Linked DNA regions of Kluyveromyces lactis. The protein of the gene in region 1 interacts with the protein of each later gene in a pairwise test. Links are inferred from orthologs where the notes say so. Each region holds a gene or a part of one and is shown in the gene's direction. Other genes may lie near its edges. The genes, in order: STE50, SHO1, STE5, ATG17 and CBK1.

Region 1 (2,572 bases):
TGCAAGTAATTTCCTGTGTTTGGTCTCTCCGTACCCTTATCACGTAGTACTCTTAGCTGTTCTGAAGTCAAACTCGGATTCCATTTACCGGTGCTATTCATTGTTCTGTAAAATTGCTTTGATAAGTTTAAAGATAAAATCCTTGAACAACTTCTTGAGAGCATCAAAAGTGTGAAACAATTATGGAGTGGTAAAACTTTAAGAATTATACCTATCAACAAAATAATGAAAGCTGAACAATAGATCCGATGGTGATTACAAATGCGAGTTTCCAGTTGTTTTCTCTTTACGATAGCATGGCTCATCGGCTTCTTGCAGAAAGCTAGTTGAAAAAATCCAAAATTCTATAATTTACAGCTTAAACATCTTTGTCAATAAAGAGCAATCTACAAAACGAAAGAAGGAGGTTGATTACGGAAGCAGCAAACCAGTCCGCCCAGTTTTGACCATTACCACAGCTACTTACCAAATAGAAAATATCATAGACTGTAAACGATATTCAACACTATGTCATCTAATTATCCAACAACAATGTCTTGCACTGATGCATTTGATCAGTTAACAGGATGTTTCAGTTTAGGAGGTCAGTTTAGAAATTACTACAGACATGGCCACATGAACGAATGTCTGAAAGAATTCGAGAAATTTAAGTTTTGTGTGATCCATAGTAAAGATCCCGTGAAGGTACAGGAATGGCACAAAGAGCAGTGGCAGAAGAACCAAGAAAGGAAAGGTACCTCCGATGACATTTGGAAAGAAAGAGTATAAACCATGGCCGTTGGAATGATAGATAGTTGTATATTTTCCACACGTATGTCCTGTAAATAAATGAATCAAAGTTACGATTGCATCGAAATACTTCTAGCGCGAATGTAGTAACAGGATTACCCCGTTCCCCAGGAATCTTATGTCAGAATATTCGCAGGGTTCCTTGTCATTTCTTTATGATTTCCGACAATATGGGAAAATCTATATTTAAACTTAATCGATTATTTGAATAAAACCAAGTGATACCAGAAAGTTGATGAAAGGAGATCCGGGGAACAGCTCAGTCTGTGGAGCATATCATTGAGCCAACAGAAGCATATTGATCAGTGGCTAACCAGTGATTCAATTGTGTTTTTACATCTCTTAAGAACAGGCATAGAAACAAAAACAAATAATGAGCGGTACAAATGAATGGTCAACTGAGGAGGTTTGCAAGAAAGTCAAAGCAGAACTTGGATTAACGGACGGAGATACATTCATCCTAGATAGAATACGAGAGAACAAGATAACTGGATCTACGTTATCTGAAATCACACTTGCCGATTGCAAGGAGTTATGTCCTGATAGCATTAGTGCCGTGAGGCTTAAGACATGCATAAACAAATTTGTTGACACGGAAGAACAAGCACCGGAACAAGAATTAGTGTTGACTATGAAAGGCTTACACCAGACGTTAAATGAAAAGTTACAAGAATTCCAATCTAATTATGCGCAACTCAGATTGGATTTGTTGGAAATCGTGAAGAGGAACAGTGGATCTGGTTCAGGTTCCTCTCAGTCTTCTCAACAACTTCAACATCAACCTTCTTCGCAAGATTACTTCGATAGAGCTCCACACCATTCTTCACACACGCCATCATCACCCAAATACAGATCGAATTCCAATCCAGGGCTGCCACCACAATCTTCAAGCACCAGAAATGTTTCATCGTCACATATTGCCACCACACCCGGATCGGCGAATACTCCAGGCGGAGCTGGAGTATCATCAGCTCCAAGTTCAGAACCTATGAAACAATTACGTGCCTCAAAGGAGGATTCATGTGAAAAGGTTTTAAGAAATGCGATGAAGAGGCACAATTTGAATGAAACGGATTGGAGACAGCATGTTTTAGTGATATGCTATGGAGATCAAGAACGAGTTCTTGATCTCGATGAAAAACCAGTACAGATCTTCAAGTCTTTAAAACAACAAGGCCTGCATCCTGCAATTATGTTAAGACAAAAAGGTGACTTTGAGGAAGTGGGAGAAATGGCAGCAACACCGGGAGGTAGGCTATAATGTTTGTTATCTCCTCCTTCATCAACTGGAAAAAACACTTGGCAAGCAACCATAAACTTTCATTTTAGAGCTTTCATGAACGAATAATTGTATTGATAGATTAATTATCTCTTTCTATAAGAGTTACGTATGTTGTACAAAGACACATTCTCAACTATAGTAAATAACAAATAGAGCACCTTATCAGGAAAGTTTTCTCAAATAATTATGTGTACGGGTTGAACCTTCTTTTGGACTTCATCTCCTTTATCTTTTCTTGATCTTGCTTGAATTTGGCTAGCAACTCATTAATTTCCTGCTTCTTTCTTTCACGGACTTGGAATCTATAGAAGTCCTTCTTTGCCTTCTTGTCAACCATATTAGGCATCTTCTTAGGTTTCTCATGCTTTAATAATGGATTTCTGTTGAATATCTTTTTCCTTATGCTGTTTAATGATTTTGTATTCTTTCCTACTACTAATGTGAAACCATCTTCATCAACAATAGATGATTGTACTTCTTCTTGAGCTTGCTGTTCTCTTT
Region 2 (3,056 bases), on another chromosome or scaffold:
GTCCTGAATTGAGCGTCGTTTTCGATGCTGCAATTGCTGTTAAATGTTTTGGGGTCGGAGTTTCATATTTGGTGGTCGTTGGAGATTTGTTACCACAGATAATGTCCACGTTTACAACCCATGGGTGGCTCTTATCACGCCAGTTTCACATCACTGCAGTTACGTTGATCATCGTGACACCGTTGTGTTTCATTAAGAAGTTAGACTCTTTAAGGTACACTTCTTCCATTGCAATTACAGCAGTTGGGTACTTATGCGTATTAGTTGTCTTCCATTTTGCCGTTCCAAATAGCGAAATCGACCATTTAAGAGGCCATGTTAGCATCTGGAAACCCAGTGATGTGGATTCATCCATGCTAAGCAGTTTTCCAATTTTCGTTTTCGCGTATACTTGCCATCACAACATGTTTTCCATCATCAATGAACAATCAGACAAATCTTTAGACAGTATAACGAAATTGATTAGGATTGCCATTACGCTAGCAATGTCTTTGTACATTTCCATTGGAGCGCTAGGTTATTGCACCTTCGGTGATCATATTACTGGTAACATTATCACCTTATACCCAAACTCCATTTCCAGCACCATCGGTAGAATAGCTATAGCATTGTTAGTGATCCTTGCCTTCCCGCTACAATGTCATCCAGCTAGAGCATCTGTCAATCATATCTTACATTACTTCTCCAAGGGGAACACCCATCCCCCAATGACAACCACAAGTGCAGAACAAAACAGTCTATTACGGGACTCTGAACTCGAATCTAGCGAACAGTTAACCTACGAATGCGAAGACGAATTAATTGAAGAAAACAGCGCTAATCAGCCTCCAGTAGTAACGTTAGAAGGCCCTAGATTCATCTTTATCACGTCTGGAATCCTATTATTTTCGTACATCCTCGCTATGAGTGTTACGTCGCTAGCAAACGTTTTGTCAATAGTAGGAGCAACCGGATCCACTTCTATATCCTTCATCTTACCTGGAATATTTGGCTACAAGTTAATCGCATCGGAGTACGCCAAATCCGTTGTACCACCAGCAAAAGAACGAATCTTGAGAATTATCTCATTGTTACTTGCTATTTGGGGATTCATCGTCATGATAACTTCACTAAGTGCTACCATATTTCTACATGCGACACATTGAGGGTACAGGATAAACAGGGTACTAGAGACTAACCATTGATACTGCTACCAATTGTACTCCCGATTGACACTCTAAATAAGCGGCCCGCGTATTCCTAGCGAGCCTTTGGTTGCTGCCTGTCACATGATCAAAAAATAACTCATCTCTCATTGTAGACAGACACCAAAAAAAATGATAAATGTATACCGTATATACATAAATATAAAAAGTAATCAATACGAACATACTTGAACTTGAAGCAAGTTTATTTCAATTTTAGTTGTTGTGTTGTCACAAGTGTTCCAATAGTCCAGCGAGGCAAGGGAATATCTGCAAACAGAGAGATGGCGTTGATTAAAGCAAGTCAAGCCCGTGCTGTAAGGGAGAATCCGCATGTATCTCATCAATTTAACATCTCGTCATTTTTGGGCGATCCTTTTGCCATAGGCACACTTAGTATTGCATTGATCTCATGGATCATTGCATTGGCGGGATCCATTGCTGTTGCAGCATCTACGTCTCCATTCCCAAGATTTTCTTGGTGGACTATAGTTTACGAGATACTACTAATGATTACGCTTTTTATCGTGTACTGTTTGGATTTAGTTGACTACTATAGAATGTTCATTACTTGTGCTGTTGGTATCGCATTCGTATATACTTCGAATAGTACTAACAGTATTGTGTACTATGAAGGGTCCAAGAGTGGTGCAGCAGCAGCAGGATTTATCTTGTTATCCATGATCAATTTGGTGTGGGTGATTTATTTTGGTGGAGATAATGCATCTCCAACCAATAGATGGATCGATTCGTTCTCACTACGCGGAATTCGTCCTTCGGTGCTAGAGACATCCATGGCTATTGCCAGATCGCAGAGACTGCCGGTCAAACCTTCTTACCCATACCAATACCAGGAAGACTTGCGTTCAGCATCTCTGCCTGATGTCCACCACGATGACGAAGGTGAGGGCCACAGTGGCAACATGTATGCGCCAGAACTTCAATCGTCTACAAAGTATGTGTCGTCTACAGTGCTGAACGGATTTGAAAATACAGATCATTCCTCTTCGAAACCAAACCTTGATGTTAATGCGCAAAATACTGCTACACTGAATACACAGGCCACTGGCACTTTCATCACAGATACCACCAATGCCAACACAGATACTACCATGGGAGACACATTAGGCCTATACAGTGACATTGGTGAAGAATTAAACAGTTTCCCATACACTGCAGAGGCTTTATATACCTATCAAGCGGACCAAACTGACGCGTATGAAATATCCTTCGAACAGGGCGAAATTCTCAGGGTTGGTGATATCGAGGGTAGATGGTGGAAAGCCAAGAAGTCAAACGGGGAAACAGGGATTATCCCAAGTAATTACGTTAAGCTTTTGGATGGGAAATCACACTGATTTTATTACTGCCTCCCATCAGTTTGTATCATTAAACATTTGATTTGTGTATCGTCTTTTATATTATATTATTTCCACAGTTTGCAATAACAACCGGCTTATCAACCTTATTCGCGAAAAATTCAAGTGCTTTTATCAACACAGTTACTGAATTCTTCATTAACACGCAAATACTTGCTTCGAATGAATCATGCTATTTAATGAATATGCTATTATTTATAATTATACTGCTTGCAAATCGCTTCAGGTGCTGGTAGTATAATAAAGTCTTCATCTCGAGTAAGAACTTCAAACACATCAATCTTAATAAAATGGGGACCATCCCATGTAAATTGTCGCTAAATTTTGTTTGTCAGTAGCACTGGACAAAAGCTCCTGAACAATTGCTTCAACGCTCAAACCGTCTCCATATAACTTACTTTCAACTCCCTTTAGTGCTCTTATGGATTCATCATTATTATTATCTTCTTCTAAAAGCTCGCTGAAATCTGCATCGGAAACACTAATTTCCTCC
Region 3 (4,236 bases), on another chromosome or scaffold:
ATTGCAGGTTTAAAGATGCACTTATTGGAATTGGGTATCGCCACGGAAGATGAAATTAAGGCTTACGACAAGGCTGCTAGAAAGTACGTCGATGAGCAAGTCGAATTAGCTGATGCTGCCCCAGCTCCAGAAGCTAAGATGTCCATCTTGTTCGAGGATGTCTACGTTCCAGGTTCTGAAACTCCAACCCTAAGAGGTAGATTGCAAGAAGATACTTGGGATTTTGCTAAGAAGAGCTTTGCTTTCAGAGATTAGAGCAAGAACGAATTAGGTAATTGAACGTTAAAGTTAACTTCTTTGCGTTTATCCTTTTTTTTATTCCCATCTCTCTACTCTTCCCTTTTCGAAAGACAACTATATTCCTATAAACTGCCCTTTCACAATATTATGCTATAAGGTTCACAAGATGATACTATTTGTATAGTGCATCTGCTATTTTCCACCAATCAATATTAAAGTACCAAAATCATAAAAAAACACCTTTTAGATACAAGTGTTTTTTATTCATTTCATTCACGGTATGGTTTCTATTCAGATAACTGTTTTTTTCGGTTTTAAAACATGAATGTTCATCTGTGACTTCTCATTCTCTCTCTCTCCATGAGACTTCGTTGATGCTTATTCTCAATGCCGAGAACATTATCTGGTTACTGATGCCTGCCATTACGGATTACCTGCGTTTTAATTTCTTCCCAAACAAAACAACGATACAGAATTTTCTCATTACTCCCAAAAACTACCTCAATAATTCGTGCTACAATCTTCTTTTCTTACGTTGATCTTGCGCCTGTTATAAACATGATTTATTGTGAACTAGGTTTTGTAAACTAATCTGACATTGTTCTTCACCATAAATTGTCTCTCCCCTTTTTGGTTGCTACGATACAATGTCGTCAAATGCGAAGCCGCATATTAGACAGATGAAAAGTTACAATACCTTGTCCATCATTGAATCATCTACTCACCTTTCTAATGACTGATCTCACGACGACTTACCCCAATAATCATCTCATCTCTATTTACTAGACTTACATCTAGTCTATATATAAATTGTATTTACTGAATTAAAGTATCATAGATATACTAGAGACAGTTTTGTCACCCTGGTTCCAGAGTCACTGCAGGACCCTACTCATCGACTTCCTAAAATGTACACTTTGTCCTGATTTCATCACTATCTCTGTTTTCATTTAAGGGAAGAAAATTATTCATTACTTAAGACCGTTGATGTTTAAATCTGAAACAACCTCAAAATGGCATCATGATGAAAGGGGAAAATATAGTGATTGCAGATTCCGGGAGATTTGAGATTCTTTTAGTGAATTCTCCAAAGTAGCTACCATGATATCGTTACTTATGTGCTAATCTATCAATTGAATAACTGAACAATTATTGTTCAAAGTATTAAGAATACATCCAAAAGTCTTCAAACTTTAAGGAATTTAAGAGTAACACTACGGCTGACTAGAGCATATTAACTATTACTTTGCTAGAAATGTCTAGAGGTAATACATCATCAATGAATTCTCAGGATATCTTATTTCAATTGACTAATGTGGGATCCTCCCCGGTGCCTAAACTGGATACAGGATCCACTTCAGGGTCCAATACCTCATCGCCAAGAAGATGGACAGAGCTTTTTTCTAAGAAGAGAGTGAAGACGCCTTCAGTTGGTACTCCATCGACTGCATCATCCATGATATCTTCCTTCTATGATAGTTCTCCCATAAGACCAGTGTCAAAACAGCATCCTAAGCACCTCCTGGTAGATCCGATCATGCCGCCTCCACCCATAATGCTCTCTCCCATTGGACATGAGACCTTAGGAAAGAAGCCCACTCGAAAAAATGGTAATAAGTCTTGGAAAAATGAGAGATGTTGCATATGCGGAGATCTTTGTTCGTTCAAGGGTTCTAATGAGAAGGTAATCCCTTTGGAGTGTAACCATATGTGTCATGAAGATTGTTTAATGGTGAGTTTACGACCTCTTCCTCATAAATCAAACCTGTATGATGCCTTGCCGAAATGCGACATCTGTAGTATGTCATGCATACCGGGACAGGAAGATATGCGACAGAAGGTAAGGTCACACTTGTTAACCTTACCTGATGACGGTGAAAGTGTTGGACTCGAACCGTATAATCCTCAAGAAAACTACGAGCGGATAAAATTGTGCGATGCAGACCTCTTACCCAAGCACTCAGGTAATGATGAAACGTTTCCACATTTGCAGACTACTAGAACAACTGCAAGAAATAACGATATCAGGTTATCTTTTGCATTTTCTTTGAAACCAGGGAAAACGGTTACTCCATCTCTTCGAGATTCCATCCGTTTGCATAGGAGTCGCAGTATAAAAAGAAGATCCAACTTCAGAGGAAGTACGGTTTCTGGCTTGTCGTCCATCGTATCATCTTCCTCGAAAGATGACTGTCAACTGCCTTCTTTGCACGTTCAAAGGCAGTATTTCATTCAAGCGTTTTTGAATAGTTTTAGCGAAGTCAAGCCTTGGGAAATTGATGCTAAATATGGACTCTTACGATTGATAGATAATTTTTTGATATCATTAGATGGCATAAATTTCCAACACCAGGTTTGCTACCTATTTTCGGAATATTTACTAGTATGTCGACCATCTCCTGCTACTTCGGCAAATGTTCTTCAATTCTCGAGCTACCGTTGTTTCCAATTGAATAATCCTCCTGAACTAGATTTATTAGATGCAACTACTCTTGAATCAAAATCTCGTTCTGGGGAAAGAATTCTTATTAAACCTTATGGGTTGGATACAAAAGCTTTAGAAAAATGGATAACAGCTCTATTTGATCTTACTTTGCCGTTCGGAAATTATGATTTCACTTCGATCAAGGTTCCCGAATTTGTGGCTTGCATTCCTAGCACCAATGATACAGGTACAATCATTGTCAGACGACAGAGTACCTTAAATGAAACCCTTATCCCTAAAACAATTCGAGATTCATCCGTGTTAACCTCAATATCATCCATTTTGTCCATCAAAAGAGCAACACCAAATGAATTAAATTTGGTGTTGCAATTAGATAAAAGAAAGACTAATGAAGATAATATCGTCTCGATCAAGAACGTCATTTTAGCTTTGACTTGGAAGTTTTCTACTTTTAACTGCTGTATTGTTGATGTTGAAGGAATGGTCATCAATTGCGGAACTGCTAACGATGTTCTCAATTCGTTGGCTGGTCCGATAAAAAGTAATGGTAATCAACCATTCTCTCCAGATCTTTTACACCAATTATGGTATCGGCAAAAACAGAAAATATGCAAAAATGTTGGGGTTGTTGTTTTATCAAACTCATCCATGGAGAATGGTAAATCATGTCTTTTTAGCGATTATCGAATATTCGCTGATGCAGGCAAACGGCATCCAAATGAATTAAAAATAAAAGTAGGCTTTCTGAATGTAGATTATAGTGATAATATCAAAGAACTCGTTGAAATTCAGGACTGGAACGAATTGCTTGAAGCTGTTGCCTATAGTTTTAATTTGAGCTTTGATGATGATTTAGATAGTAGTGACTGTGTCAGTACCTCCTCTAGTGATTTTGAAGTGGATTCAGTTCCAGATAAGAATAGAACATTCCGGCTTTCATCACCTATATCCTGGGAAAATCACGTACAGGCTGACTTGACAGGATCTATGAATGGTATTAGTGAATCTATTGAAGACCGGCAATCAAATCATATGTACGACTATTTATAACATTTTCACTCTCTCTAATTCATCATATATTTTTACCATCCACAAATCTCTCTCTTGCCTGGATCGACACATAAAAATCATCGATTTTCCCGAGACTCCAAGTTTATCAACAACGTGAAATTTTGAAGAGTCCGGAGTTTCTGGTGTTATTACTGAACTTAACATTATCCTTTTGTTTGGAAACCACATAACAAAAGTCCTACTACTCTCTTCATCCATGCTTTTCCATCCGTCAGCATACACTCTTGAGAGACTATGAGAACCTGGATTAATAGAGTTAAAGTCTTTGTCTCGGTCCAAGAGTTCCTGTTCACTGAGGGCACCTGAATATAGATAGCATTTCTCTATCGGAATCGTTAAAAAATGTCTATACTTTGTCGAATCTTTCGCGTAGCCCCTTATGGATCTATCGAAACAGTGGTACAACATTATAAACCCAGGAATCAACACCATGAAATGCTTGTTGAATACTGAATGTTTTCTGGATTTATGATAAATTA
Region 4 (3,060 bases), on another chromosome or scaffold:
CGGGAAAGGAAGTGTTCCCTGCAGCTAATAAAGTCAATAATAGGTAAATACTGAACGGTTATTTGACGTAGCATCCTCGAATATCCGGTATTTGAATCTAACCAATAACATAAGGGTTGATACACCAACCTATAAATGCTGCTTTGTGTTTCGTTCAAAATATATCCAGATTCCATTCTATATGAAAGAAACCTTATTGCTGCCCTCAAATGGTTCAACTTTTCGACCTGCATATCTGCCGTATTAATTCCACGATTAAGCTCTTTGAGCAAGAACATGGTACAGAGCTTATCAAGTATGTCATCGTCATTTATTTCTAGGCATTCAGTAATCTGATCTTCAAGACTTGGTTGCGAAAGTTGTTTTTCCTTGACTTTTTCTAAAACACTTTGTAGCCTTTCCTCTTGGTGTACTTTGCGCTCGTCATCTAGTTGAGCTTTTTCCAAGCCAACTTGTATTCTATCTATGTCCGAATGAAGCTGCAGAAGCTTATTAGCAATTTCATTCAAAGAGGAAATCTCTTCTTCATGTAATTCAGAACCATTGATTGTTCTTGTCACCGTATCAGGTAGTTCTATTTTTAATTCCGCAAGGAGACTTATATTTTGAATCAATTTCTCAAGCTGGGTGGCACGACGAGTCTTAAACTCCACTGTTTTCTTTTTATTTGAACTTTCATCTGATGATGCTGAAGTATTACTATAGTTGGAGTCATCTCTATCATGTACTGCACTTAACATCCCTAATCCGACACCTTTAGGACGAGTGACTGTTTCGATTGGGTTCACTATACCTTTCCCATCTCGTCCTAAACCTTCACCTTGTTTGTAACCCATTTTTGATAAAAGCTTGGCACCCATACCATAGGTCTTTAACATCTGGTCGCTTTTCAATCCATCATTGGAGTTGGCTTGTCGTACCGGTTCATAGTCTTCTTCTTCTTTTTGTTCTTCATTGTCATCGCTATATCCATATGGATCGGTAAATACCATACTATTCATTGTCATACTGATCTTTCTTCTTTTGAACTGATCATCGTCACTGATATGTTCTGACATCTATACTGAATCACTGGAGTAGTAATAGCTGACTTGGAGTGACTGATACTCCTTTCAATCTTTACTCCGATTAATAGGTATTTATTCATACTTTGAAAAGATTTAAAGGTTTGAAGTTCAGTCTTCGAAGTGAAATTGACCGTTTAAGGGTTTCAAATTGGAAACGTTGAAGAGATGAAGATCTTTCGGTTGATCTGAACTGCGTCTACAAGAAATGAGTGATGCTGCAACTACTATACCCAGTGATGAGATAGATAAATTGTGGAATAAGGCGAGAAACCAGCTTGTGGAAGCTCAAGTCGAATGTGAAGAATCATTAAAAATCCTCTCTAAAGTGCGAACTGAAATGGACAGCTCTCAAAAGTCCAGATTTAAACTTAAATTTATACTTAATTGTTTGGTGAACCAGGTTGAGTTCTTCAAGAATATCATGCTCGAGAAATGTATTTCTACAGAGTTGATTGACAATGAATGGTCAAAGCTGGTTTTAGTCGAGATAGTCAATGACGTGAGTTATTGGCAAAACGAGATAACAACAAAGATGAAGATCTTGCAGGGTACAAAATACGACTTGACTGACGATCACAGTAGCCTTTCAGATTTCATATGCATGGATCACGTAGACATACTACAACAAAAAATCGATGAGATTCCTATTATAAAACAACAAGTGACAAACATACGACAACACTACAAATCGATAAAAGATCGAATAGAAAACCAACTAGTGGCTGTAAAGTTGAAAAAACTCAGAACTTACTTTGATTCACATTTCAGCAGGGATAGCAAAAATAATCTATTCAAATTGTTGGAAAGTGATTATGTCACTGAATTGAACGAATTTGAGAATGAACTTGCCGATTTCTTGAGATCAATCACTGATCATTTCGACAAATGCACGATATTGAAGGAACAGCAGATTCCACTACCAGATTTGAAGGAACTTTTCCAGATTGTAAAGAAAGACGATACACAGTTAGAAAATATAAGGGAATTAGTATTCGAAACGGGACTTGAAGTGAAAGCTTTCTCAAAGAAAGTCAATGAAACAATAAGTGAAATAATGGACAAAATTGGTGGATTCCATCTGCTGGCTTCCAAGATTGTGACAGAGTTAGAAAAATGTGAGGAATACTTATCTATCTTCCAAAAGATTGCTAATTTAGTATTCGTTTATAAGGAATCTTGCATAAAAAAGATTGAACAAGTGCAACAACTCTGTGAGTTTTACGATAAGTTCAAATTAGGGTATAAAAACCTTCTACGAGAAAGAGACAGACGGAAAGCCACTGCGTTACAAATGGAGAAAATATTAAAGGAATGTCAGGAGAAACTACAGGCACTGAGTGATGCTGACTTGGACCAACGCCAGCAATTTTTACTTGAAAATGGTGACTATCTTCCCGAAAACATCTGGCCAGGTTATATCGACGATATGGAATCGATGTATAGTTTCGAATATAGCATACATAATGTACCGAATTGACGGTATTGTGTTATTATTGATACATAAGTATACATATTTACAGGTATAAATTATCTTTTACATCGTTATGGTTAACATTACTTTCTGTGGTTCAAAAATTGCAAGGTATCATTTATAATTTTTCTCAAGATCGACGAACCTTTCAAAGACATCATCGATAGTTAGTAAATCCACTTTCTTCGACTCCCTGGTTCTAATCGCCACCTTGCCTGCTTCAACTTCTTTGTCACCAATCATTATAATATAAGAATAATGCTTCTTGATGGCTTCTCTAATTCTTTTACTTACAGATTCATCTCTTGCATCCATATCAACAGAGAAATGGAAGCTGTTGAGTGGAATTGGGCTTTTTGGATCACTATTTTCACCACGTAATGAGTTGACTGTCTTGAAAGCCAATTCCATTATCTTCTCATCTTCAGTCTTCACTGGGATGACCATACATTGGTTTGGATTCAACCAAAACGGCCATTTACCTTTGCTTGAATCAATTAAAATGGCCATGAATCTTTCCAC
Region 5 (4,023 bases), on another chromosome or scaffold:
ATGGAACGTTTGAAGTTTAGTACCAAGTGAACATGAAATGAGCTATGGTTATTTAACAGAATACAGCATTTCAGAGTGAATCAATGAGAAAACACCAACCGTATTGGAAATTCAGATATTGCATCGACAAGGGGGGAGAGTTCATTTGAGTTGGTGAACTATATCAAAAGATCAGTATTTTGGTCGAAGTATGGACGATTCACTAGCATAAAACCCTGTTCACGCTGGAGGAAGTAATTTGGGTTATTTGTTGTCCCTATGTTTCTTAATTCGGTGTAGTCGAGACAACCTCAGAGAATTGTATATCAGTGAAGTCAACGCTACACTGACTGAACATAATTAACAGGAACTCAGTCGTATTAAACAACTGGGGTTCAGATAGCCTGGACCTCCCTATACAATAAGAAGAAGAGAATAGAATTCCTGCAATCAAAATAAGCTGGATGAAGCTAAAGAATATTTTTTTACTAACATCGACATGTATCACTATCTTATGATATGTTAATTTCTAACAGTTAACGTTCCAAAGACCAGAAAGACTTACTGTAAGGGTAAGGAGTGCCGTAAGCACGCCCAACACAAGGTTACCCAATACAAGGCTGGTAAGGCTTCCTTGTACGCTCAAGGTAAGAGAAGATATGACCGTAAACAATCTGGTTTCGGTGGTCAAACCAAGCAAATTTTCCACAAGAAAGCTAAGACTACCAAGAAGGTCGTTTTGAGATTGGAATGTATGTCCTGTAAGACCAAGACCCAATTGGCTTTGAAGAGATGTAAGCACTTCGAATTGGGTGGTGAAAAGAAGCAAAAGGGTCAAGCTTTGCAATTCTGAGATTATCTTTTGGAAGACCAATTTGTTACCATTTGTCAATTTTTTAACTTTTCTATAAGTATTACGAATTCACATATACTCTTTCATCACATTTATAATCTCATATCTGTCATTTGTATAGTTTAGTCTCCACTGGGTACTTCTTCACTTTGCGATTTGTATTATACGTATTCTAAGTATAATTTTCAGCAGAACGCATAAGAGTTTATTAACAAGAATTGTTTACAAAGAATAGCGTAGGACTCAGGCTACATTATTGATCCTGCAGGCAGTAAAGCTTACATATGACCTTAGCTAATATAACATGTACATACTCACCATGTATACCACTTTTTTCATTCCATTGTCTAAAATATGTTTTCAATATTTGCCATAATCGCCAATTTCATTGGAAAAACAAAAACATCGAATCAAACTTGTTTTAGAAAACAACGAACATGAAACTATACTGTTAACGTTTAGAGACATATTTCACGTCAACAAGGCCGTTTGGACGTCGCTACTTCAGCAACAACACGTAATGTACGGTGGATATTCGAATCAGAACTACTATCAACAGCCTTCTGGTCGTCCAAACGATTTTCAGCAACAGGGAAACATGCCCTTTTCGGAACCTTCTCAGCCCATGTTCAGCACCAATTATATGAAACAACAAGGATCACAGCCGTCTTTACAAGACCGTCTGACCCAACAGCAATCGCAACCTCAGTCGCATAATAATCAATATTATCCGAATGGAGGGTTTACTGATGTGCCCAACTTGAATTATCCAGCGACTCCACCACCAACTCAAAGCATTTATTCACATAACAACAACTCTAATTCGAAGGTATATCAATCCGCTCAGCATACATCTCCCGGTCAATATTCTGTTGCCAGTGAGTCCGGTTTGTACATCCCGCCACCACTGCAGCAACAGCAGAATGGTCAACAGAGTCCTGTGAGATCGGTACATCAACAGACACAGCAAACACCGCCAACATTTACTCAGCAACAAAGCTCTTCCCAACCTCAGTCACCTCAACACAATACGTATCATGCACAGCAGCAGCAGCAGCAGCAGCAGCAGCAACAACAAACTCAACAGGCCCAGCAGCAAGGACAACGACAAACTCAGCAACAGTCTCAGCAGCAAGCTCAACAACAGAATGGATCGGCGAATAATTACATGTATTTTGAGAGAAGACCTGACCTATTGACCAAAACTACCCAAGACAAAGCAGCTGCTGTTAAGCTCAAGATAGAGAACTTTTATCAGAGTAGTGTTGGTTATGCTATTGAAAGAAATCAAAGAAGATTGGAACTGGAATCCGAATTGGCATCCCAGGACTGGTCCGAGGAACGTAAGAATAGACAGCTTGCTTCTTTAGGTAAAAAGGAGTCACAATTTTTGAGACTACGTAGAACGAGATTATCGTTGGACGACTTCAATTCAGTGAAAGTCATCGGTAAAGGTGCCTTTGGTGAAGTTAGATTGGTACAAAAGAAAGACACAGGCAAGATATATGCTATGAAAACATTGCTGAAATCGGAAATGTACAACAAAGATCAGTTAGCTCACGTAAAGGCTGAAAGGGATGTTCTAGCGGGAAGTGATTCTCCGTGGGTTGTTTCATTGTATTATTCCTTTCAAGATTCACAATATTTGTATTTAATTATGGAGTTTTTGCCGGGTGGTGACTTGATGACCATGTTAATCAGATGGCAAATTTTCACAGAAGATGTGACAAGATTCTACATGGCAGAATGTATACTTGCTATCGAGGTCATTCATAAATTGGGCTTTATTCACAGAGATATTAAACCAGATAATATCTTGATAGATATTAGAGGCCACATTAAACTATCAGATTTTGGTTTGAGTACGGGGTTCCATAAGACTCACGATTCAAGTTACTACAAAAAGTTATTACAAGAGGACGAGGCAAAGAAACAACAGCAACAACAACAGCAACAACAGCAATTAAATCTACAAAAACCTCAGCTCCCAAACGAAACAAACAATGGTAATAGAAATACAATGTTGGTTGACGCCATTCATTTAACCATGACAAATAGACAACAAATGCAAACTTGGAGAAAGTCGCGTAGACTAATGGCATACTCTACTGTTGGTACTCCGGATTATATTGCACCTGAAATTTTCCTGTACCAAGGTTATGGTCAGGAATGTGATTGGTGGTCATTAGGAGCTATTATGTACGAGTGTCTAATTGGTTGGCCTCCATTTTGCTCTGAAACACCACAAGAAACGTATCGTAAGATCATGAATTTCGAACAAACTTTGCAATTCCCCGATGATATTCATATTTCTTATGAAGCTGAAGATCTAATCAGAAGATTGTTAACTCACTCTGAAAATCGTCTAGGTAGACATGGTGGTGCCGATGAAATTAAGGCACATCCTTTCTTCAGTGGTGTTGATTGGAACACTATCAGGCAAGTGGAAGCTCCTTATATTCCTAAGTTGTCCAGTGTCACAGATACTAGGTTCTTCCCAACTGATGAATTAGAAAATGTCCCTGATTCACCAGCAATGGCACAAGCTGCAAGACAAAGAGAACAGATGATGACACAGCAACAAGGGGTTCCTCAATCCAATGCAAAGGAAGATTTACCATTCATCGGGTACACGTACTCTAGGTTTGATTATCTAACTAGAAAGAATGCTCTATAGTAACGCTCTCTGTACATAACCGCGACGGAAGTTCCTAAATATAATAAAATAAACGAAAGTAAGAAATACTACCAAGAATTATAAACATTACGGTCATTAAAGTGGAGAAAATGTAGATACAGCTGATTCCCAATAGATCATAATCAAATTGACTCAATATCAGGCGCCCAGCAACGTACTTGGTATTAAATCTACGCTTCAACACAAATTATTAAAACCAGGAAATAGTGAACAACACATAACCCGGTCCCCGCGCAGAACGAAATCTTACACAGGGATAACCGTGGAGCGATAATATTGATGTTGATCTTTTAGGAAACAAATAGTAACTAAGGTTAAACTAAAATAGTTCTAATGTATTTAATCATTGAAAGGCCTATAAGTGGAAACGAAGAAATATGTATCTGATTTTATATACTGGCAAAAAAAATTTCATGTTAGTGTGAATGATCTCCTTACTCCGGGTAACGGAGTTTATCAAAGTGTTTTCCGTCCAATATAGATTCAAACCCTA

What was found.
Region 2: the proteins of STE50 (region 1) and SHO1 interact in binary tests that used the Saccharomyces cerevisiae proteins (3 or more experiments, as listed by UniProt). The link is inferred for Kluyveromyces lactis from reciprocal best matches to the Saccharomyces cerevisiae genes STE50 and SHO1.
Region 3: the proteins of STE50 (region 1) and STE5 interact in a two-hybrid assay, tested with the Saccharomyces cerevisiae proteins (2 studies listed by BioGRID). The link is inferred for Kluyveromyces lactis from reciprocal best matches to the Saccharomyces cerevisiae genes STE50 and STE5.
Region 4: the proteins of STE50 (region 1) and ATG17 interact in a two-hybrid assay, tested with the Saccharomyces cerevisiae proteins (2 studies listed by BioGRID). The link is inferred for Kluyveromyces lactis from reciprocal best matches to the Saccharomyces cerevisiae genes STE50 and ATG17.
Region 5: the proteins of STE50 (region 1) and CBK1 interact in a two-hybrid assay, tested with the Saccharomyces cerevisiae proteins (2 studies listed by BioGRID). The link is inferred for Kluyveromyces lactis from reciprocal best matches to the Saccharomyces cerevisiae genes STE50 and CBK1.

The regions. Positions count from the first base shown.
Region 1 is NC_006039.1:104,650-107,221, forward strand, and holds STE50 (Ste50p), read left to right. Parts: upstream 1-1,162; coding exon 1,163-2,050; downstream 2,051-2,572. Other genes in the region: MXR2 (peptide-methionine (R)-S-oxide reductase), read right to left, coding at 1-305; EMI1 (Emi1p), read left to right, coding at 508-768; RRP7 (Rrp7p), read right to left, coding at 2,256-2,572.
Region 2 is NC_006041.1:628,309-631,364, forward strand, and holds SHO1 (osmosensor SHO1), read left to right. Parts: upstream 1-1,468; coding exon 1,469-2,542; downstream 2,543-3,056. Other genes in the region: AVT5 (amino acid transporter), read left to right, coding at 1-1,145; DNA-binding protein kinase TEL1, read right to left, coding at 2,846-3,056. UniProt on the Saccharomyces cerevisiae protein: Plasma membrane osmosensor that activates the high osmolarity glycerol (HOG) MAPK signaling pathway in response to high osmolarity.
Region 3 is NC_006042.1:1,102,413-1,106,648, forward strand, and holds STE5 (Ste5p), read left to right. Parts: upstream 1-1,495; coding exon 1,496-3,736; downstream 3,737-4,236. Other genes in the region: PDA1 (pyruvate dehydrogenase (acetyl-transferring) subunit E1 alpha), read left to right, coding at 1-255; SPO71 (Spo71p), read right to left, coding at 3,731-4,236. UniProt on the Saccharomyces cerevisiae protein: Component of the pheromone signal transduction pathway. It mediates pheromone signals acting between STE20 and STE11. It is absolutely required for pheromone-induced transcription of FUS1. May play a role in cell-cycle arrest in response to pheromone.
Region 4 is NC_006040.1:232,109-235,168, forward strand, and holds ATG17 (protein kinase regulatory subunit ATG17), read left to right. Parts: upstream 1-1,272; coding exon 1,273-2,544; downstream 2,545-3,060. Other genes in the region: mRNA splicing protein SPP382, read right to left, coding at 1-1,058; threonine--tRNA ligase MST1, read right to left, coding at 2,653-3,060. UniProt on the Saccharomyces cerevisiae protein: Autophagy-specific protein that functions with ATG13, ATG29, and CIS1/ATG31 in response to autophagy-inducing signals as a scaffold to recruit other ATG proteins to organize pre-autophagosomal structure (PAS) formation.
Region 5 is NC_006040.1:668,581-672,603, reverse strand, and holds CBK1 (serine/threonine protein kinase CBK1), read left to right. Parts: upstream 1-1,352; coding exon 1,353-3,509; downstream 3,510-4,023. Other genes in the region: RPL42A (60S ribosomal protein eL42), read left to right, coding at 516-832. UniProt on the Saccharomyces cerevisiae protein: Protein kinase that seems to play a role in the regulation of cell morphogenesis and proliferation.